7 linked regions of the Macaca fascicularis genome follow. The protein of the gene in region 5 interacts with the protein of the main gene of each other region in a pairwise test. Links are inferred from orthologs where the notes say so. Each region holds a gene or a part of one and is shown on either strand. Other genes may lie near its edges. The genes, in order: FAM9B, TCF7L2, BTBD6, MX1, DAXX, PARK7 and ETS1.

Region 1 (3,971 bases), on a different chromosome or scaffold from region 5:
CTATAACAGTGCAACTAATATTTCACACAGCAATATAAAGTTTATGAGTTTTTGGATCCAATTACATGTTTCTCACTAGATAGAAAAGTTGTCCTTACTTTTGTACTACACAGTTTATTACTGGAATAATAATAGAAAATGATTTTAGAGAATTCAATTTTCTCTTGTACTTCAAATAAAACAAAATCAGAAAGCTGTGACAATAGAATAGCTAAATTAAGAACATGAAAAACTCTTATTAAAAACTCTGAGTACATATGGACAGGAAGAAGGGACCAACAGACAACTGGGCCTACTTGAGAGTGGAGGGTAGGAGGAGGGTGAGGATCAAAAACCACCCATCAGGTACTATGCTTATAACCTGGGTGACAAAATAATCTGTATACCAAAACCCTGTGACATGCAATTTATCTATATAACACACCTGCACATGTACCCCCAAACTTAAAGTGAAAGCTTAAAAAAAACCTGATATATGACTTAATCTGCGTACACTAAAAGGAACGAATAGAGCTATTTCTCCTCCAATGTCCTCTAATATTCTCCAAACAATTAAATTTCCACGTGTATGAAAGAAAAGCCATCCATCTCGCTTCACCATTATTAGAAGCATTCTCACATTCCACATCAACAATCAAAGAGGTAAGAAAAATTTATCAAACAGATTACATTAAATACGTATGTTAAATGCTACATATGATAAGCCATTTAAGACAGTCTTGTCATCCACTGATTCATATAACTTACTGCAACAGTTGCATGATTGAAAACAATTTTCATAAACGACAGATAACTCCTAAAATATACCTGCAGTATCTTCTGGCTTCTTGGTATTAGCCCTGTAAAAAAAGTTACATCAAAATTTTAGCATAATACTACACAAAATGCCATGTTTGTTGGGAAAAGAAATGTCTTATGTGAAATGTTCTGCACAGAATAGAACAGTGATGACATGGTCCAAAGGTGACTTTTCCTAAAAGACCCTATCCGACAGGCAAAAGTGACTTAAACACTTTACCCCGTGTGCTCGTCTTTTTCAGCAAAAGGTTCTCTTTCCCCATGCTCATCAGTTACATCTTCCTCCCTTGTTTCTGTAAAAGGGTTTCTTTCCTCACATTCGTCACTGACTGGATCCTTTCCTGCATTAAAATTTAAAAGACAAACCTTTTTTAGAGGAAGACACTGTTGTGGACTTTTTTTGTGGAGAAATGTACTAGTTGTAGACTTTTTTTTTTTTTTTTTTTTTTTGGCTATCTGCCAATTAAGGCTTTAAAGCAGAGCTGTACATGGAATCACCGGCTTCTGACCATTTTATCAAGGCACTTTTGGAAGCCCTTCGGGTTCAAGTCCCAGTAAACAACGTACTACACGTCAGACCCCTTGGATGTCATGACTGCACTCATGGAGAAGAGCTGCTCTGGGAGCATCTGTAACCCCGCTATGAGGGGAGCCTTTTACGGGAAGCCTAAGGCCCTTGAGCCTGCTTTGAAAACCTGGGGCATCTTAGCACGTGCACGATGGACTCCAAAGCCACGAAGGGGCCCGGGTCCTTGGGCTACCCCTGTGCCCCCAGCGCAGAAAGCAGACAGACCGTCCTCTTGGGCGTGCACTTTCTTCCGGGTCACCTTGGGCTGTATTTACCTGCACGCTCCTTCCCCTGGGCCGCCATAAATTGAGCCTCCAACTGGGCCTTGGCAGCCCTCCTGCCCACAGGATCCGTGGCTGGCTGTCCTGGGAAGCTACAGGTGATCCCTGAACCTGATGAGGGCAAAGGCACACTAAGGAAGCAAAGGAACCCTGGCATCGGAAAGGAAAGCCATTGGGATCACAGGTTTAAGAAGGGTGGGGCTGGCACGCCCTGGGCCTCCTGTGGGAGCAGGAGGGGACCGAAAAGATGCCAGTGTCCCCTCCTGTCCTGGCCCGTCCAGCCCGTCCAGCCCGTCCCCGGGGCTGGCTGCAGAGCTCACAGCTGCCCCTCACACCTGAACTCCACGGCGTCTGCGGGATCCTCGCCGCACCTTTGGGACAGAACTCAGCCCTACCTCTGGGTCCCCCAGCGACCCCGTGTGGCTGGGAGGGCCACCGGGTGACACAGGATCTCCCCAGCCACCTCCAGAGGAATGTCAGGGGCTGCACTGTCACTCACCCGCCTGGATGCACAGGGGACCCCTGATGACCCCAAGTGTCCTGTCCTGACGGGAGGCCGGGCAGGAGGGCCCCACTCAGACTGTCCCCAACAACACCCTCGCCCCACCCCCACTTCCCCCCACCTTCCGCACCTCCCCCCAACACATGCACAAGCCCTCCTGGGCCCTAGGGATCACCCAGGCGGCTCCAGCTCCCTCCCTGCCCTGGCCCACCCCAGCCCACCCTCAGGGCCTCGCCCTGACCCAGGCCCCAGGCGACCACGCCAGGGGCATTTCCTCACAGGTCAGCGGGCGGCCCAGCGCTTCACACCCTGGTTCCCAGAGGGCCTCGTGCCTGCGTTTCCGCCTCCCCACCGCGAGCGCTTCACCTGAGGGACCCCTGATGTGGCGCCCTCAAAGAACCTGCAGACAACAGCACCACTAGGATCTCTTAGAAAACGGGTCCTCTCAGGAGGCTGAGGCAGAATGATTGCTTGACCCCGGGAGGCGGAAGTTGCAGTGAGCCCAGATCGCGCGGCTGCACTGCAGCCTGGGCGGCAAGAGCCAGACTGTCTCAAAAAACAAAAAACAAAAAACAAAAAAGAAAACAAGTACTCAGTTCTCGTGAGAGCTGCCGACAGCACTTCCTACGCTCCTCGCAGATTGGTCGACTCAGTGCACATGCGTGTGACAGGCCGTGTGGGGCCACGCCCCCTGCTGGCACGCCCTCCCCCTTCCCCTAAGTGACAGCAAGTGGTTGCTGTGGACTGAGGTGGGGTTGGCCCTTTGGGGCCTCTGTTCCCACATTCTTTCAGCTTCTGCTCCTGGGGAGGGACACAGGACTTGGTATGGAGGCCAAGTGGACAGGGCCTAGAACCTCGCCCTGGGGCTCTTTCCAGCCACCCCTGCCCCTTTGGCTAGAATGGCCATCATCCTATGGGTTGGGCCCAGGCTCCCTCCCATGCCCTGTGTGCTTCCAACATGCCCAGCTGCATCCTTTTCAATCAATGGATTGTGCTTTTATTGTTTTTGTTTGTTTTTGAGACTGTGTCTCACTCTATCGCCTAGGCTGGAGTGCAGCAGGGTGATCTCAGCTCACTGCAACCTCCGCTTCCCGGGTTCAAGTGATTCTCCTGCCTCAGCCTCCCAAGGAGCTGGAATTACAGGAGCCCAACACCAAGCCCTGCTAATTTTTTTTTTTTTTTTAGTAGAGACGAGGTTTCACCATGTTGTCCAGGCTGGTGTCAAACTCCTGACCTCAGTTGATCTGCACGCCTTGGCCTCCCAAAGTGCTAGGATTACAGGCATGAGCCACCGTGCCCTGCCCATAACCATTTTTGTTTCCTCACTACTTTTCTTTCTCATCCTCATGCCCCAGACTTGCCCACAAACCCTCATGCTCCAGACTTATCCAGACATATGCCACAACCTTCACCCACAAATTAATGCCTTAATACTTATCGTTAACTCAGCTTTTTCCCACCTCCAGTCGCCTATAATAGGGGGAGAGTTGTTTTGGAGTTAGGAGTAAATAAATATTGCCTAAAGTTTGTAAATCAAGATATAGAGTTTCATTATATTATTGAAATTATATCCCAGCACTTTGGGAGGCTGAGACGGGCAGATCACAAGGTCAGGAGATCGAGACCATCCTGACTAACACGGTGAAACCCTGGCGACAGAGCGAGACTCCACCTCAAAAAAAAAGAAAAGAAAAGAAATTACAAAGGCAGTCATCAGGAAAACTAATCCACAGCCTTAAATGTCTATATAACCAAAAAGAGCACACACAAAGAACACAAATCCTGTAGTAAAAGTTGGAAAATAAAGAAAATACTCCAGAGA
Region 2 (3,500 bases), on a different chromosome or scaffold from region 5:
TAACCTCTGCTTATGTCAATAGAGACCCTCTCCCCAAGCTGAAACTAGGTGTTTTGTTGTAATAATTAAAGGCGAAGTCTCGCTTGCTTTAATGGAGCCATCACACTAATTGAGGGCTACACATCCAAAGGAAAACAATAATGAATGTAAATTTATACCAAAATAAAGTACAGTGAATCAAAGGACTTCAGTTGCGCTTTGGGCCTCTTTCGGTATTTAGATCTCGGTGAGAAAACATTAAATTAACAGAGCTTAATTTGTAGCCTTTTGTCAAATTAACAAGTGTTGACAAGAGTTACCGGGGGGAGAGTCCCCAAGAAGAATTGTGGGTAACCAATAGACAATCACACCTCATTACAATAATTAAAAAATACAGCAACATGCAAAATAGCATCCTCATGAAAGACACACAACTTTTTCTGACAGAGGGTTGTCTGAGTTGGCTATTCCTTTTTATCTAGCCTTCAAATATCTCCCCATCAGCTGAATGGGGCAAATGATCACTGAGAACTATTTGAGGGTTGGCCCCATCTATTTAGAAGAAATGGGTCACAAGCTCATGTTCCTGTCTACCCTCCCAATAAAAATAAGGCGAGACAAAGAAACAGAAACTACACCCGGGGTTGGTATTTGGTATAGCTACTACATAATGCAATCTGTTTTTTTTTTAAAAAAAACAAACAAACCAAAAAAAAAAAAAAAATACAGGTAGAATTGTGGGGTAAGCCACTCCAAAATGTTATCTTCCTTAAGGCTTTGTAAGGCCGTCTTCCATAAGACTCAAACCTGAGTTTTACCAGGATTTATTCCTTTTAGCATTCAATGTATTGTCCTGTGTTGTTCAGATCACTGACAAACAAGGAGAAATATATCCAAAGAAACAACCACGAAACACATATTACACACGTGCTCATGCAAAAACACACATACACACAACCCGCCACAGTATGCTAATGCATCAAAGGCCTTTCTACTCTGAATTTAAAACACAGTTTTTTTAAGTTGCAAAAGACAGTCAAATAATCTGGCACTGCCAGGAACTAGGACTGATGCTTGTGAAGGCCCCACATGCTGCAATGACAGTTCCAACTGCCCCATTCCCACTGTTCACAGTCATTCACGTGCAAAGACTCTCAGAGAGATGCTGATTCAGTCCCAAGGAGCTTCTCAACAGACAAAACTTTCCACTGCTGTTGTCAACTTGGGACTAATGCTCAGCATGAGGTGGGGTGTCCTGGAATCATACGAGAACATGCCCTAATCCCAACCCCGGATTTCAAAACAAGGCAGTTCTTGTTCCCGCTTCCGTGGCCTCAAATATGTAACACCTAAAAGGGAGGACTCGGCAGCCTCAACCCAATGACATGATTGCAGTTTGGGAAGCCAACAGCAGAAAGGCCATGATCAGCTTCATTGGGTGGAAGTCCCAGGAGTCTTCTGCAATTCCCAAAGGATCTTCAGGGCACCTCTGTCCACAGAGACTTTGGGGACCATGGTCTCGAAATGCTAAGTGCCAATAACTCTTTTCCTACAGAATCCATCTGAATGGCTATGGATTTGCCAGGACACCTCAGCAACACCTTTCCTGTGCCCTCCCACAGCCCCCTCCCCAACCCTGGCTTCTAACACACACATACACACACACACACACGTACAGAATAAATAATAAGCATGCCCGTGTAAGAAACAAAAAGGAAATTAAAAAATGGAACTCCTTACTGTGGTACTAACCATCCTAGCGGATGGGGGATTTGTCCTACGGTGCCAGGCGATAGCGGGTAATACGGGGATATATCTGGAGGGTGCGGAGGCCGTGGGATTCCTGAGGGAAGAAGCAGCATTTTAGGTACAAAGGAGGGAGAGAGGGAAAGAGCAACTCGTTAGGGGATGGGAACAGGGAAAGAGGAGGAAGAGAGGCATCTCTTCTGGAATCCTAACACAAGGTTCATTTGTGATTACAAATCCTAAGAGTTGTTGGTAGGTTTCATCTCATTTTCCCTTAGCCTCAGTTTGAAAAATTAGTTTATCTCCTTCTAAATGGACTGGGATAGTGGGTAGACTCAGATATATGCCATCTTGGGTCTTTCTGCCTCACGTGACTGGTGTGATTGTTTCAAGTTTAAAAGAAACAACCTCAAAAAGGCTCGGCAGCTGGTGGGGAATGAAGCAATGGTAATCCCTGTTGCTCTTACAACATGGGCCCTTCACCCTGCGGAGTTTCATGCCTTACCTGCACGAAAGTTACTCCTCTGATTTCTAACAGACTTTTTGAGCTGTGGCCTTCAAAAGGTTACTACCCTTGCTTTTTTTCAAAAATGGTGACTCCTCTAAAATGTCTCCGCCTCTATTTGGATGAGCTGGAGAAACTGATCAAATGCCATGTGGCATCCTATCCAAGGTAGAACCAGAGCTGAACAGACAAGGAGGTGTTGGAGGCTTGTGTACTCCATTCTGGAACTTCATCCGCTAGGGGACAGAGTCACCTGTGGGGAGTAAGCCCATCTGCTGAATGGGCACCTTGTGCGTTGCAGGGGCTAAGAGCTTCACAAGGCACACGTGAGGGGATTCTGCAAGTACGTGCCGCCGCATGCCTGCCAGTTCCACAGGAGCACATTCTACAGTCGACTCTGACAGAGAAGAACTGATCTGTGCCGTTGAAGTGGGAGGCAAAAGGCACAATACCACAGAATTAAAACAGAGTAAAGGAGGGAACAGACTGCATGTTCGTGGATGAAAACGACTTCATTTTTTAAAAAATTCATTCAGGAAGCTTTTAATCTGTAAATTAAGTCTCCCTGGGTGACATTTTCATGCAGACATTGCTTTCTCTCTATTACAAAAACCAAACAGATTAGCTGGGCTTGGACCCTACACTGAGCCATTTGCACACTTGAAAGAATGTTCGCAGAGGAAAAGTAAACAGTCCACAGACGTTAATCATATGTTTTACGATAACCATTTAAAAGCTATTCCCTGTACTACCATTATTTAAATGAGACGTTGACGCTGCCATTCACTGGTGGAGCCTGGGGCCGGCTGGAGGAGGCGGCCAGGCATCCAAGCACCAGGCTCAGTCCTGCACCAGCACAAAGGGGCTCAGAGACCAGTAAAACCCAGCTCATGTGTGGCTTCTTTCAGGGGCAGTGAAGGCCGCCTAACCAGGCAGCCTACCTACCCCAGCACTACCAATCCCCTCTACCTACCCCAGCACTACCAATCCCCTCTAACGAAGTGATGCGTGATCACCAACTTAAACCCATCCTTCCAATTACTGAGCTGGGAAGGGAAACTCCTACCAACATACTGGGTAGCCTGAAAGACACACACTAAGCTTACCTGTTCTCCCAAGACCACCCCACCAGGAGCTGGGGCTGCCTGCCTGATTTAGATCTTGTTGAAGGAGAACTAAAAGTAACCCCACCTTCTCTCCTTCTCCCCTTTGGGAAAAAAGCAGTCAATGAACGACTGGGATAAAAAGGGGCTGCTGAGTTGGGTGTGGT
Region 3 (4,279 bases), on a different chromosome or scaffold from region 5:
ACAGTCCGTTCATAGGGTAGGACTCTGAGGTGCTAGTGATGCATTAGGACATAGAGACAACTAGGCACCTGGTGTTTCCCAGGGTGGCCCGGAAGCCAGCCAGCGACCCAGGGGACGGATGGGCTTCACTGGGGTGCAGTTTGCTCCAGACCACGTAGCATGTTCAGCATGACAGCTTTTCTCCTCGGGATGGGAGCTGTTCTGTTGCATGAGAAAGAGAATACCCCACTGTACAACTGTAGTCATTTACTGACACACGAGTGTTATTTTAGGCAACCTTTATTACAGAAGTCCACTATTTTAAGTGACTTTTTGCCGATTTTAGATTTGAAGGGAAGGTCTCAAGTTAAGCTTGGAACCACTTAGAATCCAAGAGGTGGCAGGAACATCCAACCCCTCAAAGCAGGTGGCGTGGGTGCCACTGGGAGGGGATCTGGGGCCTGCCTTGTGCCCTCAATCTTCCTCCACCTGAGATGTGCACCCCAGTGTACCAGAGATGCCTATGACTCCAATCCCCAGGCTCTGGCTGTGTGGAAAAGGCCTCTACTTTACACAATCAAGTTTCAGCTGACTACATGTCAGAGAGAGACAAGGCTAAGAGCAGTTAGTACATTGACTTCCGCTCCGCTCACTTGCCGATCTGCTGCAGCCTCCCCGGGCACCTCAGGCGTAGAAGATGAGCTCAGGGATCTGCCCACCCTGGACCCCAGTCCCGTTGGTGCTATCCGAGGAGCACTGGAACTGGAAGGCCACCTTTCCGCACTGCACTTCCGTCATCCCCTCCTGCCCAAAGTAGCTGAGTTCGCTGCCATCCAGGACGGCACTGGCCGTGTAGAAGGTGTCTTGTTCAACCTGGACCGGGTGTTCAAACCAGACCGGGAAGGTGTTACTGGATCCGTCTGACATGAACTTGGTCAGGTTCTGAGCCAGAACCACCCCGAGCCGCTTGAGCTCAATCTTCACGCTGTACTCAGCCTTCCCAGAGCTGGACCCATACAGGCCCAGCCCTGCAATAAATACCCTTCTGTCCACTGCAAACTGGATGCTGTCACAGCGCCCGCGGTACCGCCACTGGTTGCTGCGGTAGGCAGAAGACTGGAATCGGTGGCACCTCTGCGGGGCGAGGCCCTTCCTCTTGGTCAGGGGGAAGTCCAGGCGGGGCTTGTTGGTGGCCGTGTACCACAGGAAGATGCTGTGGGTCTCCTCCAGAGTCAGGATGTCTGACTGGGCAGCGCCATTGGCAAACTCCTCTAGGGTCATGGTTGGAATTCGAACCAGATAGAGGGCTCGCCCCAAAACATGCCTCTTGTTTCGTGGGGTGACTGGCAGCCCCTGCCTCTTGCACTCTGCCTCGGCCCAGTTCAGGACGGCCTCGAAGACCACTGCCTCCTTGGTGTTGAGGGCCTCCCGAGTGACAATAATCTCCAGCGTCTGCCGGTCTATCTCACAGAAGCCTTCGGACCGTAGGGCCATCTCGGCCTGTGCATCGATGACCTCCCAGCAGCGCTGCGTCAGCTCAGGCTCCTCAAACAGCCGGCTCTGGGACAGCAAGACACAGGCGTTCTTGGCTTCCAAACTTGTCTCCAGAAAGTTGACACAAGCTTTTGCCAATGCTGGGACGATGTACTTCTTAGCAGCGTAGAGAGTGGCCAGCACCGTGTCAGCTTCCAGATCGATCTCATCACTGTACATGTACCTAGGCGAGGCAAGGCCCGCGTCAGGGGCTGGCTCCCAAGCACCTATTGCGGGGCTGGGCCTGGGAGAGTCGTCCATCAGCTCCTGTGTGCTCCCCCTCAGAAGCCACGGGAGGCCGCCTAGAACGGAACCACCCGTCCTTCCCCAGTACAGAGTGGACTTACTTTAACAGGATCAGAAAGGCTGCGGGCTCCACGTCGGGAATGTGAATTTCAGATTTGACTTCCGCCAGGTCCCCGTAGAACATGGCATAGAAGACGGAGCTTCCGACAGCCAGGACGTACTGGGAGGAGAAAGCGCCGCCGTGAGCCTGGCTGTCCCGCGGGCTGCGGGCAGCCACACGGCAGGCGGGGCACGCCTTCCGAGAGGGGAGGGGTCGCCGCTACCCACCTTGTGGGCGGGCACCGTCCTGGTCGCCCCCGGGGGCCCCACGACGAAGTGCACGTCGGCCATGAGCTCGTTGTTAAACATGAGCGCGTTCCTGCAAAGGCAGAGGCACGGGCTGGGGGCGCGGGCGCGCGCGGGTGCGCGGGCCGCGGGGGGCGGGCTCACCTCTCGCGCAGCGTGGGGCGGCAGCACCGCCAGCCGGGGCTTTCCGGGTGGTTGTTGCCGAGTGTGGGGGGCGCGGGCGCGGGCGGCGGGGGCGCGGGCGCGGGGGCGCTGGGCGGGCTGCGCGGCCCGGCCTTCCTGCCCACGGCGGCACCGGCGTTGCTGTTGGCGAGGTCCGCGGCCGCGGCGCTGGCGGGGGCGTAGAGCTCCGCCGCCATCTTCGCGGGCGGGGCGGCGGGGGTGGCCTCGGCGCCTGTGGACGCCGCGCCCCGCGCCCTCGCACCGCGCCGGGGCCTTGGGAGCGGCTCTGCAAGCAAAAGCAGGGAGGTCAGGCACTGAGCAACGCGGCCATGCAGGCAGGCCAGGGGCAGCAGCATGGGCGGCGGCGGCGCTGCGACCCGCGGGGTTGCCACCCGCTCCCTTGCCACCCCCGCCCCTGCGACCCTGCGACCCTGCCCGAGCCCAGCCTAGCGCAGCCCGGCCAGGCCCGGCCGCAGGGGGCGCCGTCCCGCCCGCCTGAGCCTGTACCCGCCGCGGCGCCGGCGCGTCACGCTGCGTCAGGGCCGCGCCCCGCGCGACGACGCTGCTGCGCGGCCCCGCCCCCAGGCCCGACAGCCTGGGAGCTGCTGGAGTTTCCGTGCGCTGCAACCGGCGGAAGACGCGCACTGTGCAGAGGTCACCGTGGAAGGCGGCTCCCGGCTCTGGCAGGCGGCTGCCCCCAGACCCGCAGTGCCATGCGCAGGTGCTTGCGCCCGTTCTTTAGTTAGTGATCTTTTGGTTAGGAACGCAGGTGGACCTGCTTGTTGGCCGTTTGCATTCCGGAGTCTGTGCCTCTGGCCGAGGCTTGTCGGATGGTCGTAGGGCTTCCTCGTTGGTTCGGATGCCTAGTGAGTTAGCTTACTGCAGACGCCAGCAGCAAACGCTCGCGGAGAGCGCGGTCCACTCTGCTCTGAGGGCTTTCACGGGCAGGAGCTGCTATTTCCTCGCATTTTCCTCGAGGAAATGGGCACAGAGAGGTTAGTCGCGTGCTGAAGGTCACACAGCGGGCGGTTGGGCAAGTCAGGATCTGGCTCCAGGCCTGCAGCCTTGGAGCTTGGGCCCCAGGGCGCGCCCTGCCTCTGTGGCTCTGCCTGTGGATCACAGTCGCAGGCTCGTTCCCTATGGGGCCTCTAGCCTCCCAGCCTGGAGCTAATCTTGGGAGGTGCGTGACAGTGGGCACTGGCTTTGCCGATGTGGAGACCAGACTCCAGAGACTGTGTCACCTGGCTTGGTCTGCACAGCCGGTGCACGCCAAGCTCGCGTGCAGACGAAGCTCCAGAGTCCTGGCTGTCAGGAGAGTTCCTCCCCGAGGACACACATGCAACCTTCTGGACCTCCAGGCTTCAGACTTTCAAAACTCCCATATATAGGAAAGCCCCCAGGACGCAGCCAGCAGCTCGGGTCATGGGTGCACCCATCACAGCAGTCCTGGGCGGAACAGTGAATAGGAGCTCTGTGTCTCTGGTCGTTACAGTTGTAGTAAATGTTCCCTGTAGTAAGAGTCCCCTTCGGAAGATATTTGCCGTATTTTCAACAAAAGACTCTCCAGGATTAATGAGCGACTACAAGTCAGGAAGGAAAAGGCTGACAATCCAGGTTTTTTAAAAAACGGGCAAAGGACGTGAACAGACACTATGCAATGACCCAGAGTGCACACATCATCATTTCGCCTGGGAATGGGGCTCCTGAGCCCCCAGGCGGCTGAACTTGAGACTTGTCACGCCAGTGTTGGTGGAACACGGAGCAGCTAGAGGTCACCTGCTGCAGGTGGGCGTGTAACTCCGCAGGGCCAAGCAGGGCCAAGCCCTTTGGAAAGCCGTAGCACATGCATGAGGGTCCAGAAAGTCCCAAGAGAAAGTGTGTGGATGCACCTACCAAGGACACACCCAGAGAGGCCACAGCTGCGATTTCATAGTGTGGGACCACACTGGCAAAGACGCACTGGCTGCTGTGGCCATGGTTTCTGTCCCAGCCATCTATTTCCATAGGAAAAGGT
Region 4 (2,455 bases), on a different chromosome or scaffold from region 5:
CTGTCAAGCAGCTTTTCTCCCTCTGTGTCTCCTGTTCGTTGGTGTTAGATGTGATTTTGGTATATGAGCTTTAGATGTATCAATGCCATACCTCACACCCGTCCTGACTCTTACTGTTTGTAGCAGTTTTGCAGCTGATTCTCCTCGGTTCTCCTGGTGAGTACTCACACCGTCTGCCCCTGTCTGGGGCTCCAGCATTGCCCTGAATGCCTGCCTTCAGCCTGGTGCTGTCTCCTTTCCCCCATTTCCAGGTGGTGACCGCCCCGCCTCTCGGTCACTCTGGTCACAGAACATGGATCGGGAGTTCCGCCTCAGTCTCACCAGTACGAAGTGCTTATTACATGCCTGGCATCTTTCTAAACTTGCATCTTTCTAAAATTTCATCTTTTAACTCCTTTAATACTTTTAATCACCCCATGAGACCAGTGCCTCACATTAGCCCTGTTTTATAGAGAAGATACCAGAACCTTGCTGAGGGACCAGTACACTGCAACTTCCTGAGATCCACCCATCCTGGGAAAGAAGAAAGTTTTGCTAATAGGTGGGACTTTGGGGAGGGAGAAAGGAAGTGGTAGAAACTGTCTACATGCAGGTAACTCAGGCAGCTCCATTCCGTGGCATTTGAAAGCCCAATGTTTTTTTCTACTGAGTCACTTGAGTGTTGATTAAAAATAAGCAGCAGCCTTCAAATCTCTTTGGCAGACTTGTAAATAATTTGGAAATGCAGTTTTTTTTTCTTTCTTTTTTAAATTTTTTTGAGATAGAGTCTTGCTCTGTCGCCCAGACTGGAGTGCAGTGGCGCAATCTTGGCCTCCGGGGTTCAAGTGATTCTCCTGCCTCAGCCTCCCGAGTAGCTGGAACTACAGGCACGTGCCACCACACCTGGCTAGTTTTTGTATTTTTAATAGAGAGGCGGTTTCACCACATTGACCAGGCTGGTCTGGAAATGCAGTTTTTGCACTGTCTGCCTGCTTACCTTTATAGAGCATATTTTGCCCCCTTCCATCAGAGGTACCCATTTAATGGTCAGGAAAAGCTGGTGGGAATATGACTCATAGCTGGGACATTCTCTGCACTGTGCATTGTTCCTCTTTGCCACCACCATGGAGGAGATTGGTGGGTTTGAAACCCAGGGAAAGGTCCTTGCCTCGCGAGGGTGTCCCTCATTGAGAATCTGGATCCGCTGATGTGCACATGGTGAAGTCAGAGTCCCTTCCTCACAGTGTCCCCTCCACCCTCCCATGAACTGTTCTTTCCTTCCAGGAGGCCAGCAAGCGCATCTCCAGCCACATCCCTTTGATCATCCAGTTCTTCATGCTCCAGACGTATGGCCAGCAGCTTCAGAAGGCCATGCTGCAGCTCCTGCAGGACAAGGACACCTATAGCTGGCTCCTGAAGGAGCGGAGCGACACCAGCGACAAGCGGAAGTTCCTGAAGGAGAGACTTGCACGGCTGACGCAAGCTCGGCGCCGGCTCGCCCAGTTCCCTGGCTAACCACGCTCTGTCCAGCCCTGTAGAGGTACACTCACACCGTCTGCCCCTGTTCCCAGGTAACCACTGAACAGACTACTTGAGTGCTCAGTAGTCAGACTTGATAGTCACAGTCTCTGCTTATCCATTAGCCCATGGCAATTTAGCAAGAAGCTGTGAGAGCAGTTTGGTTTCCAGCATGAAGACAAAGCCCCACCCTCAGATGCACATGAGCTGGTGGGGATGAAGGATGCTGTCTTTGTACTGGGAAAGGGATTTTCAGCCCTCAGAATTGCTCCGCCTGGCAGCTCTTCCCCTTCTCTGTATTCTTAGGAGCTGACATGGGCTGAGCATCACAGAAGCTTATTTCCTGGTGTTTGTAATGTCCCTACACCAATCCAGTGTTTTAGGAGCATGAGTGCCATGTGTGTCAGTCCTGTCAGAGCCCTGTCTCCTCCGTTTGTAATAAACTTATTTCTAGTGGACACGGCTCTGCCATGTTTTGTATTTTGGGGAGAAGCCTGAAACTAGCAGGTAGGACGCAATGGAGCAGTCGGCGCTAAAGCTGCCCTCCATGGCGGGGCCAGGTAGGAGCGAGCAAAAGAACAGGGTCTGATGATTTCCTACAGACTGGAGGGAAATGGGGGAGCACACTTTAAAAAAAATGAAACAATATGAAGCCAGCGGTGCTAACTGTTAATAATGTGCATTGATCAAGTGTCCAATTTGTTGAGTCACTGGGTACCTAGCATGGAGTTGAAAAGCACAAGGTCCAGTCAAGAAGAGGTTGCCAGGCCAGGTGCGGTGGCTCACGCTGTAATCCCAGCACTTTGGGAGGCCAAGAGTTCAGGACTAGCCTGACCAATATGGTGAAACCCCGTCTGTACTAAAAATCCAAAAATTAGCTGGGTGTGGTGGCATGTGTCTATAGTCCCAGCTACTCGGGAGGCGGAGACAGGAGAATTGCTTGAACCCAGGAGGTGGA
Region 5 (4,109 bases):
CTCATCACTCTCTTCATCTTCTTCGTCATCTGTCTCAGCTTTGGAGGCAGAAGGGCACCCCTGGGATGCCATTCCACTAGGGCCCTGGGGGACAAAGAAGTTTCTCTAAGGAATCCCTTGCCCTAGAGGGTTTGGTTCTTGCATTCCTTCTCATGCTCCCCCATCAGTCAACCTGGACTCCCTGGTGGCCAGTGCAGGGGAAGGACAATGTCTCTCTGAAGGCTTTACCCCATCCACACCTCACCAGAATCCAAGGAGGCGGGGGTGTCTTCAGAGTGGGAAGAGGTGCCTTGGAGCCGAGCTCTTCTCTTTTTTCTCTCGCCCTCCTCACTTTTGTCTTGCAACATTGCATATTTGGAGATGACCTCATCCAGCCGACTCATGGCCAAACTCCGGTTTTCCCGAAGGCGCCGGGCCAACACAGGATCTGATAGTGCAGGGTCAATGCCTACGTGGGAAAATATAAAGTCAGAGCACTCAGCCGTGGAAGGGACTAGAAGAGTACAAACCCTAGAAAGGACTAGAGAGATGCCCCATCCGCCTCATACCTGACATATAAGGGTCACTGAGAGGCATCCCACTAACCCCCTACCTGGCCTATAGTCATCTGTGAGGTGGCAGCCAAAGTTGTAGATGAGATCGAGGTGACGTCGTTCCTGTAACCTGATGCCCACATCTCGGAAGGCATCCTGAGCCATGAGCTGGAGCTGCTGTCGGGGGAGGCCAAGGCTGTGTCGGGCAGCTGCCTTCTCTACTGCCCGAAGCACATCCCCATAGTCAGGGAAGGTATCAGGCCCTGGCTTGTTGATGAGCCGCTCAATGCGCCTGTTAACCTCTGGGTAGCGGGTGCCACGGTAGGTGATGCGCTGCTCTATGACACGGCCGGTCAGTGAAGAGCAGTCTTTCAGCTCACATAGTCGCCCAAAGAGGCGGATCAGCTTACGCTTCAACCGTGCCTCCTGCAGGTATGTGGAGTCTGGGTCATCCAATTCTGAGAGATCCAACTCCTTTTCCTGCAGCCGCCGGATCTCTGCCACATAGAGCGCCAGCAGCTGCTCCAAGCGCTGGATCTGCCGCCGGGAACCACGGGTCCTTGGGGCCTGAGAGGCAGTGTTTTCAGCGTTTGTGGGGTCCAAGGAGAGGTGTGTGGGAGGGTTATTCCCAGAGGGCTCATTGGACGTGGTGGCAGCAGGGGCCAAGTTCAGCTTCTTTTTGGCTGAGTGGGCCTTGAGAACAGTGCAGAGCTCATTGATGTAGACATAGAGCTTAGATGGCCGGCTCTGGGCCCGAGATAGGACCCGAGAGAGGATGTTGCAGAACTCCGCCGAGGCCAAAAACAGAGAGTGGGCACGTTGCTGCCGGTTAGAGAGGAATGGGACCACCTCAGGGTGGTCCGCTGTCTGCGTCTTACAAAGTTCAAGGAACTAGAAGGTTCAGGGGAAGAAGGAAGGGGAAGAGAGACAAGGGAGGGGGTTGAGAGAAAGGGGAGTGGGGTTAGTGGGGAAGAAAGGACAGGAGAGCCAGTCAGCCATCCCCCTCCCTGGGGTACAACGATCTTCCCCGCTAAAGCTCACCTCTTGGAACAGCTTCTCATTCTCCAGCTTGTAGCACTTCTTGCCGCCCGAACTACTGCTTCCTCTGGCCCCATGAGGCTCAGAAGAGCTAGGGGCTTCTGCCCCTGGTGAGGCTGTACTGGGGAGTGGGTGGGAGGGCCCTGGCTGAGCAGCTGCTTCATCTTCGTCATCATCATCCAGCACAATGATGCTGTTAGCGGTGGCCATGGGGGAATCAAATCCCCCGGAAGGAGGAAGTGGTGGGGATTTCAGAATTCCTGCTGGAAGGGGATGGGGCCTCAGAATGAGCCCCTCCAGCATAGCCCCATCCCTTCACCTCACGCATTTTCTGAACTCCTTGGGTTTCAGCCCTGACCAACACTGTCTTCACCACCTGATTTCAATAACCATTAGTTCTATATGCTTTTCGGGCCCTTCAAGTGGTGTGTGGGGGGGGCAAACCCCCCCACACCTTAAGTTGCCACCTTCTGCTCCACCCCTCACGTCGATTTCCGGTCTTTCTGTTGCATTTCCCCACTCTTTCTCAGAGTTGGCAAGTTGGTTCTTTCTCCCACACTGCACCCTAAATCGTCCTGACACCCCCTGGCACAGACAACACACTCCTGTGGGCGCCACCTCATGTGTTTGCCCCCTCTGCCCTCAAACAAGTCAACCCCACACCCGCCCCATCCTGATCACCCCAACTCCTAGACTCTCTGAGGTGAAAGAGGTTCCCTCCCAACAGTCCGTTCTCTTTTCCCCTCCTTGAATTATCTCCGTATTTCACCCTCAGATGAGTCTCCTCAAACTGGGCCTTTAGGTTGAAGATATTTTACCCAAGTCCCCTCCCTTTCACCCCACCCTAATTTTCCCCATTCTCTCGGAGACCTGTAACTAATTAGAAGTCCCCCCGCACCGCGCTACGCTCTCCCGATTCCTCTTAGATCCCAACCCTGGGTCCGGCCGGTCCGGTAGATGCGCTTCCCGCCAAATCCCCCTCCCCCAGTTCAGCCCCCGGCCGCCCCACTCCCTTTCAGGGATAGGAAGGTACCACAGTTTTCCCCTCAGACTCAGAGCCCGGCTCTCCCCAATACCTCTGCCTCGATATCCCCGCCCCCGCCTCTGATCCCCGCACCATCCGGCCCCCACCTCAGAAACCGTCTCTCGAGGCGACCCTCGCCGCAGATCTCAGAACCTCGCATGGTTCCCTCCGCCTTCCTTCCCACTCCCACCGCAGGCCCCACTACGGACCGGAAGCAACAGAGTTTCCGCCTGCATGCAACTAAGCGCCGCCATATTGTCGTACGGAACAAGGCTTCCTGTGGCCGGAAGCGGCCGTAGGCCCGCCCCGCGAACACCTCCAGTGCCGCCCACATAGTCAGCGCGGTCTTCCAGGTCGGAGTTTGTCTCCCCGAACCCGGGCGTCCCAAAGCAGCTGGGGGCCGCCATTTTGCCGTACGGCGCTGGCTACGCCAGAACTTCGGTGCGCAGCCGGAGGAGCTCTTTTCACCCGGTGCTTCTCTGACTCCGCCAATCAGAAACTTCCTCCCTGGGGTCCAACCGCCGGCGAGTAGCGCGTGGGGAGAACGGAGCCTCCTTTCCAAGGAGGGGCAGGGGAACCGAACAGGGTGGTTTAGGAATTGGGCTTTCCAAAGCTGCGTAGGGTTTCAGGGAATGGCAGAAGTCTCTTAAAAGGGAAGTAAAACCTTTATCTTCAACTAGGCTATTGGCAAGCTATCTGGCCCTGCTTTCCTGTCCCCCAGGTTCCCATTTCCACGGCTTATTCGGCTGACCCAGCCCCTTCCCCTGCAAGGGCGGCGCGCTCCTTGCCGCTGTCCAGCAGCTGCTTCTACTGCCAGGTGCTGCGTCCCACAGTCGTTATAACACATGCGTACAAATAAGCACAATGCGCCATACAAAAGTGTTATTATTATTACTATTGTTGCTGATTTGCTTTTCAAGCTTCACCACAGAACTAATGACCAGACGGTTGGGACCTGAATGGTTCTCCTCCAGAGGGGGTCCTCGAAGGGCCGTCGGTGCTGACTGTGAGGCCGTGCTTTGTCGTGGAGGCCCAGGGTCTGCGGATGGGCGATGATGGGGTGGGGCTTGGAGGAGAGTTTGAGCCTCTGCAAGGGCTGCTGTGAAACGAAATGAGGCTCATAAAATACTTTGGGTTTCCTCCTCCTCTTCTGGGAGAGGTTAAAAAAGAATGAAGGATGAAGAAACAGACTTGATACCCACCTCGTTGAGTTTAGGGAGGTTGGAGGGAGTCGTGGAGGCAAGGCTGGGTCCAGAGGTGAGCTTATGAGGAAACCAGAAAGATTAACAAGGTCCCAATCGCAAAGATTCCCATTTCCACAAGTGGTGGGCATCTTGCCGCTTAACTAGGTTCACAGAATTTACTACATCCCTAACGCTGAGTCATAGAATCGCAAACACCCGTCCATTGAACAATCCCACATCACTTCTCTCCAGTCGTCAAAGTCTACAGCTTTCAAAATGGGGAACATAAAAAACCTCCGCGAGGACTGGAACTTGGGAGATGTAAGGGAT
Region 6 (3,500 bases), on a different chromosome or scaffold from region 5:
TTTGTTAAAAGATACAAAATTATAGCTAGATAGGAGGAATAGGTTCTGGTGTTCTATACCCCTGTAGGATGACTGTAGTTAATAATCACAGCTTCAAATAGTTAGGAGGATATTGAACGTTCCCAACACAAAGAAATGTTTGAGATGATGGATATGCTAATTACTCTGATCCAATCACTATATATTATGCACGGAAACATCACGCATCCCATGAATATGTACACTTATTATCTGTCGATTGAAAATAAAGGTAATCACTGTTTTAAAATGGCCAGACACCATATGACACAAACACAAACAGAAATGAAAAAAAAATTATTATTATTATTTTTGAGACATGGTCTTGCTCTGTCACCCAGGCTGAGGGCAATGGCACAACCACAGTTCGCTGCAGTCTCAAATTCCTGGGCTCGAGCAATCGTCTGAGCCCAAGTGATCCTCTTGCCTCAGCCTCTTGAGTAGCTAGAACTACAGGCGTGCACCACCATGCCTGGCTTTTAACATTTTTAATTTGCAGAGAAAGGGTCTCACTATCTTGCCCGGGGTGGTCTCAAACTCCTGGCCCCAAGTGATCCTCCCACTTTGGCCTCCTAAAGTGCTGGGATTACAGGTGAGCCACTGCACTTGGCCTGGAATATTTACTTCTGCTTGTCATTTTTAATTTGTTTCAACAAATCATATGTAAATACCAACAGTCTAATTTTCTACAATCCAGTAATGAAAAATCTGAACTTATTAGAAAGGATTAAACTTCTTCCTATGTATCTGAGGACAGCACAGGGAATCGCACTCCAGGTTCCTCAGCAGTGCACAACCAGCCATTCGTGAGCCAACTCTGCCTCCTTTCCCGCCATGACTCTGCTGTCAGAGGGTACAGTCCACACTCCTGTCACCCTGCCTGACGATGGAGTCTGCAAAAGCGCCTGTGGGGGAGCATGTTTCTGAGGAAAGGGATGCTAGCTTCCAGAAGTGTCCATAGTCCTTAAACGTAAGAGTCATAATTCTAAAGATACTGAAAAAGGAACACAACTAAAGTGGAACTCTGAAAGTATCTTTAGAAAAAAGAATAATGGCCGGGCATGGCACATGCCTGTATTCCCAGCTACTTGGGGGGTTGAGGTGGGAGGATTGCTTGAACCTGGGAGGTTGAGGCTGCAGTGAGCTGTGACTGTACCACTGGACTCCAGCCTAGGGGACAGAGCGGGATCATGCCTCTAAAAAAGAAAAAAAAAGAATGGAAAATGTGGCAGTTGATTTATAGCAGGTAAAAATGTGTAATAGGAGGCAAAGATACCTGTGTAAGCCGGAAGAATACTGATGGGAGAACGATGCAGCCATCCAACTAAGCACCAACTCAACCATCTCGCCACACGTCCAACCGGCCACCTATCTACCCAGCCACCCACCTACTGAGCACATTCAGTAGCAAGCAATTGCCACATTCTATGGATACAGAATAGAAAGACAAAGTCCTCACCCTCTTAATCTGTCAGGGGAAGACATTCAAGCAAAATCATTTTCTAAAATGAGTCTGTGCTAACAACAGTCTTAGACATTTCAAGAAACAAAGAAGCCGTATGAAGGAATACCTCCATGTATGGATTACAAACCTCTTTTTTTGCATCTTCAAGACTGGCATCAGGACAAATGACCACATCACGGCTACACTGTACTGGGTCTTTTCCAGCCAGACCTGCAACGGTGACCTTAATCTACAAGAAAGATGTTATCATAGTTAAGAACACTGAAACATAAATTCAGACTAACACTGTCTTTAAAAAAAAATAGAGATGGGGTCTCACCCTGTCACCTGGGCTAGAGGGCAGTAACACAATCATAGCTCACTGCAGCCTCCAGCTCCTGCGCTTAAACGATCCTCCTGCTTCAGCCTCCCAAGTAGCTGTGATTACAGACATGAGCCACCACACCCAGCTACAGTAACATTTACACAGCTGCCCTGTTTGAAAGTAACATGGTAGGAAATACTGCACCACAACTATATCAAATGTGAACTAATACATTGGCTAAATATACTTAATAACTAGGTCTGCCCTGGTTTGCCTGGACAGACTCTACTTATAGCTGCTGCCCTGTCCTGTGTGACTGGACATCCTTTCTCCCACAAACGTTCTGATTTGGGTGACCAGTTATATGATCATCCTGTTAATAACTCACCTTGCAAGTTTACTGTTGCCATTTAAACCTCATGGTATTTTTGTAAAATAGAAATGCAAGTCAAAACAATGAAATACTGCTTTATCTTTCAAAAATTTTTAAAGTCAACAATACCAAGAGCTGGCACTGGGAAAGTGGGAATTTTCCTACATTGCTGGTGGGACTACAAACTGGGACACTGGAGAGCAACTTGGCAAAACCTAGTCATGCTGACTATGGGCAGTCCTTCGGCCTAGTAATTCTACTTTTAGATATATAACCTCAAAAAACTTCCACACATTTGCACAAGGAAACCGACACAAGAATACTTATTACAGAATTGTAATGCTGTAATTAGAGGAATGGGTAGATTGTGGCATTCAGTGCAACATCAGGCAGCAATTTTAAATGAATAAACTAAATCGACATAATGTCTTCATTTCTGAGAACCAGAGGAGTATAGGGTTAACAGACTCTGGGGCCAGGCTGCCTGGGTCTGAGCTCCGGCTTTTGGACTTACTGTGTGACATGGGTACATTATTTAATGTCTCTGTACCTCAGTTTCTTCAACCATAAAATGAGGATGACGGTATCTAACTCACAGGGTTGTTGTAAGGTTTATCAGCACTTAGAATGATGCCTGGCACAGAGTTAGTTCTACTTCAGTGTTCACTATTGTTAGAGAGAGAGAGAGAGAATATATAAACATGCAAAATGAGAACCACGGTCAAACACTACCTTAAAGGCAGGTGCGGTAGCTCACACCTGTAATCACAGCATTTTGGGAGGCCGAGGCGGGTGGATCATGAGATCAAGAGTTCAAGACCAGCCTGGCCAAGATGGTGAAACCCCGTCTATTAAAAATACAAAAAATTAGCCAGGCATGGTGGCGCACGCCTGTAATCCCAGCTACTTGGGAGGCTGAGGCAGAGAACTGCTTGAACCCAGGAGGCAGAGGCTGCAGTGAGCCAAGGTCGCACCACTGCACTCCAGCCTGGGTGACAGAGCGAGATTCTGTCTCAAGAAAAAAAAAAAAAAAGACATGCATGCATGGATACACAAGATTGCGAGGACAGCAGTTTTCTTTAAGCAAGGAAGAAGGGGCATGGGACTGGAGAAATTTACAAAGGAGGCTTCAACTGTATTTCTTCGAAGCATTTGTTCCTTAAGAAATGAGTCTGAGGGGCCGGGCATGGTGGCTCACGCCTGTAATCATGGCACTGTAAAATGCTGAGGCAGGCGGGTCACTTGAAGCCAGGAGTTCGAGACCAACATGGTCAACATGGTGAAACCCCATCTGTACTAAAAATACAAAAATTAGCTGGGTGTGGTGGCAGACACCTGTA
Region 7 (3,500 bases), on a different chromosome or scaffold from region 5:
TGCATTTTTCTCAGAAACAAAACAATTTGGACACTTTACTAGGTAGGTTGTATCTCTGAGTGTTTATGTCCTGTTCCTAAAGATTGGGTGCATTTTACCTTTTTTGCTCTATGACAACCAGCTCTATTTTGAAACATTTTCTTCACTGACAGTGAACATTTTATCATTATTATAATAGTCATGTTAACAAAACTACCTTCTTTTGGAAACCCCTGGCCACCTCCTTCCCTGGTCCTCTAGCTAAATACACACTTTCACCACACTGCTGATGACTGGTTCCAAACAAACCGTTGGTTAACCATCTTGTGTCTTCCCAAACCAAAAAAGTCACAGGAGGCTAAAGATCCCAGGCTGGCCAGCAGAGGTCATTCCAGGTACCAAGCCAGGATCTACGGTCAGACCCAGGAGTCCTCTGGGAGGAGCACCAGGACACATGCTAAGCTCAAGGGTTTTCCAGGGTGGTCACTTGAACCATTTTTATTTGATTATGTCCTCCTCAAGGAAAATAGAGCATACCTTTCAAAGTGACCAAATTCAACCAGAGTTATTAACTGAGGGAAACATTTTGCCCAAGTAAGACATTTAATTTCTTAGATTGCCTGATTCTGATTTCACTGTGGACCCCATGGCCTTTGCCACAATAATGGACTTGGCTAAAACACCACGATGGAAAGTTCTTAGCATCTGGACACTCTAAGATGGGAAGGCTGAAACTGAGGAATCTACATGTCTAATAAATGAGAAAAAAAAAATGGAACCTGAAAACACTCACAGAGTCAGGTAATTCTTGTAAACCCAAGAGCTTTTAGAGAAGAAGTATGACCTACCACGACTGGCTCTCCCCATGCACATGTTGTCTGGGGTGACGACTTCTTGTTTGATAGCAAAGTAGTCGTTCTGCAAGGTGTCTGTCTGGAGAGGGTCCCGGAGAATGACTGAGGGGTAGTCGTTCTCATACTTGAGGGAGAGGAGCTCTTCCGAGCTGATGGGATGGAGCGTCTGATAGGACTCTGTGATGAAGCTGGGCTCTGAGAACTCGGATGGTGGAACACACTGGGCATGCTCGATACCATAGCCTGGAAACAAAGGGTTTGCAATTAAAGAGAGGAGAGATTTGTACTTAAAAAAAGCAGTTTTTCACCGCCTACAGAGGCCGTATGACGTGGAACAAGCTCCTTAGAGAATAAAGGGAAAATACTTTAAATCAGAAAGGCTTGGGTTTTTAACCTTGTCCACTACTAAATAGCTATGGCCCTTGACAAGATAATTGACTTCCTGACTTCACATTCTCATCTATAAAATGGGGGAGATTGCGATCTTTCCCGGAGCACTGCAATGAAGATGAAATGAGGATATAGGTAAAATGCCCACAACATTCCCCACACAATAAGCTCTTGACACAGGGTAGTTAACATCATTGTGTTACTGGAATAAAAATTGTAATCACGTAAAAAGATAAAATTAAAAAATAAAACCTGTTTAATATTCCCTTTAAAAGCAGAGCCATCAGATAAGATGCTCCTATATCTCAGAGCTTACATTAGTGCAACAGGCCTACAGCCATTCTTTCCCTCAGGCTATCTTTCAGTATGGTGGGGTATCTTACGCGAAAAAGGAGAAGGCTGTATTTCCTCTAATAGAATTTGAAGCTGCATAGCACACTCTTAAAGAAGGATTTTAGAGGAAATGCTGTCATCTCCACTAGTAAAAAGGAAACAACAAAGGCCAAGATCAAATTCCTAACCCAACCCTCTTTTGGCCATCATAGTGAACAGTACCAAATCAGAACAAAAGTTTAGGGGGTCCAGTTGCAGTCTCTCTGCATGACTTTCAGGTTGAAGGTATCAGAGAAGGATCTTAGTGTGTAGGAACTTGGTAGGTTAATGAAACATGTATATAGGTTGAAACTTGGTGCTTTGTGGAAAATAATAAAAGAAAGTAACAAAGAAGAGTCTACATCTAAGAAGATATTATTTTTGATAGAATTACTATGAAGAAGCCTGAGATCGACGGAGATAGGGGTCTTTTCCTAGTTTCCTATAAAGGAGTAGAAATGAACTTACTAATGAAGTAATCCGAGGTATAGCGGGATTCTGGATAGGTTGGGTTGACTCCATTAACTTGATATGGTTTCACATCCTCTGTAATGAACAGATAGGGAATGAACAACGAGGTCAATATTCAAGTCATGCTTGGCCTAAAAGGATCTTGGATGCAAAGACACAATGATCTCAACCCCTTTTCTAAGAAATCTGCATACTCATTAACTGAGTTGGTATCTGAGTCTATCCTGACTGTGACCTTGTCTAAACATGAGATCAAAAAAATATGACTAAAGTTATTATTTCAGTAGCTGCAAAATGGGATTTAGTATCTTGGAAAGAGAATCCATGAGTAATCTCTAAGGGCTGAGAAGGCATTCAGCATTCATTCTCAATGAATTCGTACTGCGTGTATGTCGACCACACTAGAGCCAAAGGCTTGAGTACATCACAGGTTAGCAGGATCAATCCCCAACCCCCAAACTGGTCAATTTCAAAACTTTTCAAAAATATATGGCAGTCTTCAGGCAGTAGATTTTATGTTCTCCATTTCCTCTAACAGATGTCTGGTTTTTGTTTTGTATTTTTCCCATTGCCCTCAGGTTTCAAGTTCAGGCCCAGACAAGAAGCAGGACACTGGTAAGGTGACTCCATTTGGTGAAATGTGACTGGGCTTGTATAAAGGGAGAGAAGAGCAACCCAACCAAGCTCCTGCCCAGATGCCAACTCCCCTAGGAAAAGGAGAGGAAGGGAGACAAAGTGCACCTGCGGACAGAAAGCTCTGCACAACACTGCAGTGAGCCTGGGATCCTCTAATTACCCTGGAACAAATGCCATGGCCTCCAATTCTTGTATGGAGTAGTCTGATTATATTTCACCGTAAGAATCTGACATAAAGAGAGTATGGGTTTGGGTTTTTCCTCAGGTATTTGATAGCTTGTTAGGAGCAAAGTCTGATGAGAAAACAAGTTTATGCCTGCACAGAAAAAACAGTTCCCAGTTGAGATAAAATGATTAAACTTTGCTTTAGCAGTTTATCAGATTGAAACATCCCCGTACCTCTGGCCTTCCACCCCACCCCAAACAGCTATGTTTTTTTGGTGCTGTGTTGCTTTAGTTTAGTTACAGAACAAAAGCTGTAGTCTCAGCACAAACATCATGCTCATCTCGTCAAGTAACTGAACCTGAAGAGGGAGAATTCTTTCTGCCTCTCTCAACAGAATATTGGGTGGGATGATAAGGCTTTTGCTCTCAAACATACTAACTTATATCCTAATTCTCTTAAATTTTCTTACATTCTTCCTTTACCCTAAGCGAGGCTAAACCAGTCTTAGGGGCCAAAAGGCCCCTGTGAGTCCACATTATTATACAAAAAGCACAGGATGGGATGTTAAATTTTAAGTTAAATAAAAATATATTGAGGCCAGGCATGGTGGCTCACACCTGTAATCCCAATGT

The links.
Region 1: the proteins of DAXX (region 5) and FAM9B interact in binary tests that used the Homo sapiens proteins (3 or more experiments, as listed by UniProt). The two-hybrid records come from large-scale screens. The link is inferred for Macaca fascicularis from reciprocal best matches to the Homo sapiens genes DAXX and FAM9B.
Region 2: the proteins of DAXX (region 5) and TCF7L2 interact in binary tests that used the Homo sapiens proteins (3 or more experiments, as listed by UniProt). The link is inferred for Macaca fascicularis from reciprocal best matches to the Homo sapiens genes DAXX and TCF7L2.
Region 3: the proteins of DAXX (region 5) and BTBD6 interact in a two-hybrid assay, tested with the Homo sapiens proteins (2 studies listed by BioGRID and IntAct). The link is inferred for Macaca fascicularis from reciprocal best matches to the Homo sapiens genes DAXX and BTBD6.
Region 4: the proteins of DAXX (region 5) and MX1 interact in a two-hybrid assay, tested with the Homo sapiens proteins (2 studies listed by BioGRID). The link is inferred for Macaca fascicularis from reciprocal best matches to the Homo sapiens genes DAXX and MX1.
Region 6: the proteins of DAXX (region 5) and PARK7 interact in binary tests that used the Homo sapiens proteins (3 or more experiments, as listed by UniProt). The link is inferred for Macaca fascicularis from reciprocal best matches to the Homo sapiens genes DAXX and PARK7.
Region 7: the proteins of DAXX (region 5) and ETS1 interact in binary tests that used the Homo sapiens proteins (3 or more experiments, as listed by UniProt). The link is inferred for Macaca fascicularis from reciprocal best matches to the Homo sapiens genes DAXX and ETS1.

What each region holds. Positions count from the first base shown.
Region 1 is NC_088395.1:8,685,657-8,689,627, forward strand, and holds the start of FAM9B (protein FAM9B), read right to left. Parts: upstream 2,801-3,971; 5' UTR 2,516-2,800; intron 1,759-2,515; 5' UTR 1,670-1,758; coding exon 1,642-1,669; intron 1,140-1,641; coding exon 1,019-1,139; intron 840-1,018; coding exon 808-839; intron 1-807. UniProt on the Homo sapiens protein: May play a role in meiosis.
Region 2 is NC_088383.1:122,188,876-122,192,375, reverse strand, and holds part of TCF7L2 (transcription factor 7-like 2), read right to left. Parts: intron 1,823-3,500; coding exon 1,720-1,822; intron 1-1,719. UniProt on the Homo sapiens protein: Participates in the Wnt signaling pathway and modulates MYC expression by binding to its promoter in a sequence-specific manner. Acts as a repressor in the absence of CTNNB1, and as activator in its presence.
Region 3 is NC_088381.1:173,422,452-173,426,730, reverse strand, and holds BTBD6 (BTB/POZ domain-containing protein 6), read right to left. Parts: upstream 2,801-4,279; 5' UTR 2,622-2,800; coding exon 2,248-2,621; intron 2,177-2,247; coding exon 2,086-2,176; intron 1,979-2,085; coding exon 1,860-1,978; intron 1,697-1,859; coding exon 664-1,696; 3' UTR 264-663; downstream 1-263. UniProt on the Homo sapiens protein: Adapter protein for the cul3 E3 ubiquitin-protein ligase complex. Involved in late neuronal development and muscle formation.
Region 4 is NC_088377.1:5,550,138-5,552,592, reverse strand, and holds the end of MX1 (interferon-induced GTP-binding protein Mx1), read left to right. Parts: intron 1-1,263; coding exon 1,264-1,494; 3' UTR 1,495-1,955; downstream 1,956-2,455.
Region 5 is NC_088378.1:138,379,598-138,383,706, reverse strand, and holds the start of DAXX (death domain-associated protein 6), read right to left. Parts: upstream 2,801-4,109; 5' UTR 2,756-2,800; coding exon 2,703-2,755; intron 1,835-2,702; exon of another isoform or gene 1,782-1,834; coding exon of another isoform or gene 1,765-1,781; coding exon 1,575-1,764; intron 1,425-1,574; coding exon 593-1,424; intron 449-592; coding exon 240-448; intron 85-239; coding exon 1-84. UniProt on the Homo sapiens protein: Transcription corepressor known to repress transcriptional potential of several sumoylated transcription factors. Down-regulates basal and activated transcription.
Region 6 is NC_088375.1:226,909,073-226,912,572, forward strand, and holds part of PARK7 (Parkinson disease protein 7), read right to left. Parts: intron 1,713-3,500; coding exon 1,611-1,712; intron 1-1,610. UniProt on the Homo sapiens protein: Multifunctional protein with controversial molecular function which plays an important role in cell protection against oxidative stress and cell death acting as oxidative stress sensor and redox-sensitive chaperone and protease.
Region 7 is NC_088388.1:127,004,279-127,007,778, forward strand, and holds part of ETS1 (protein C-ets-1), read right to left. Parts: intron 2,142-3,500; coding exon 2,064-2,141; intron 1,077-2,063; coding exon 828-1,076; intron 1-827. UniProt on the Homo sapiens protein: Transcription factor. Directly controls the expression of cytokine and chemokine genes in a wide variety of different cellular contexts. May control the differentiation, survival and proliferation of lymphoid cells.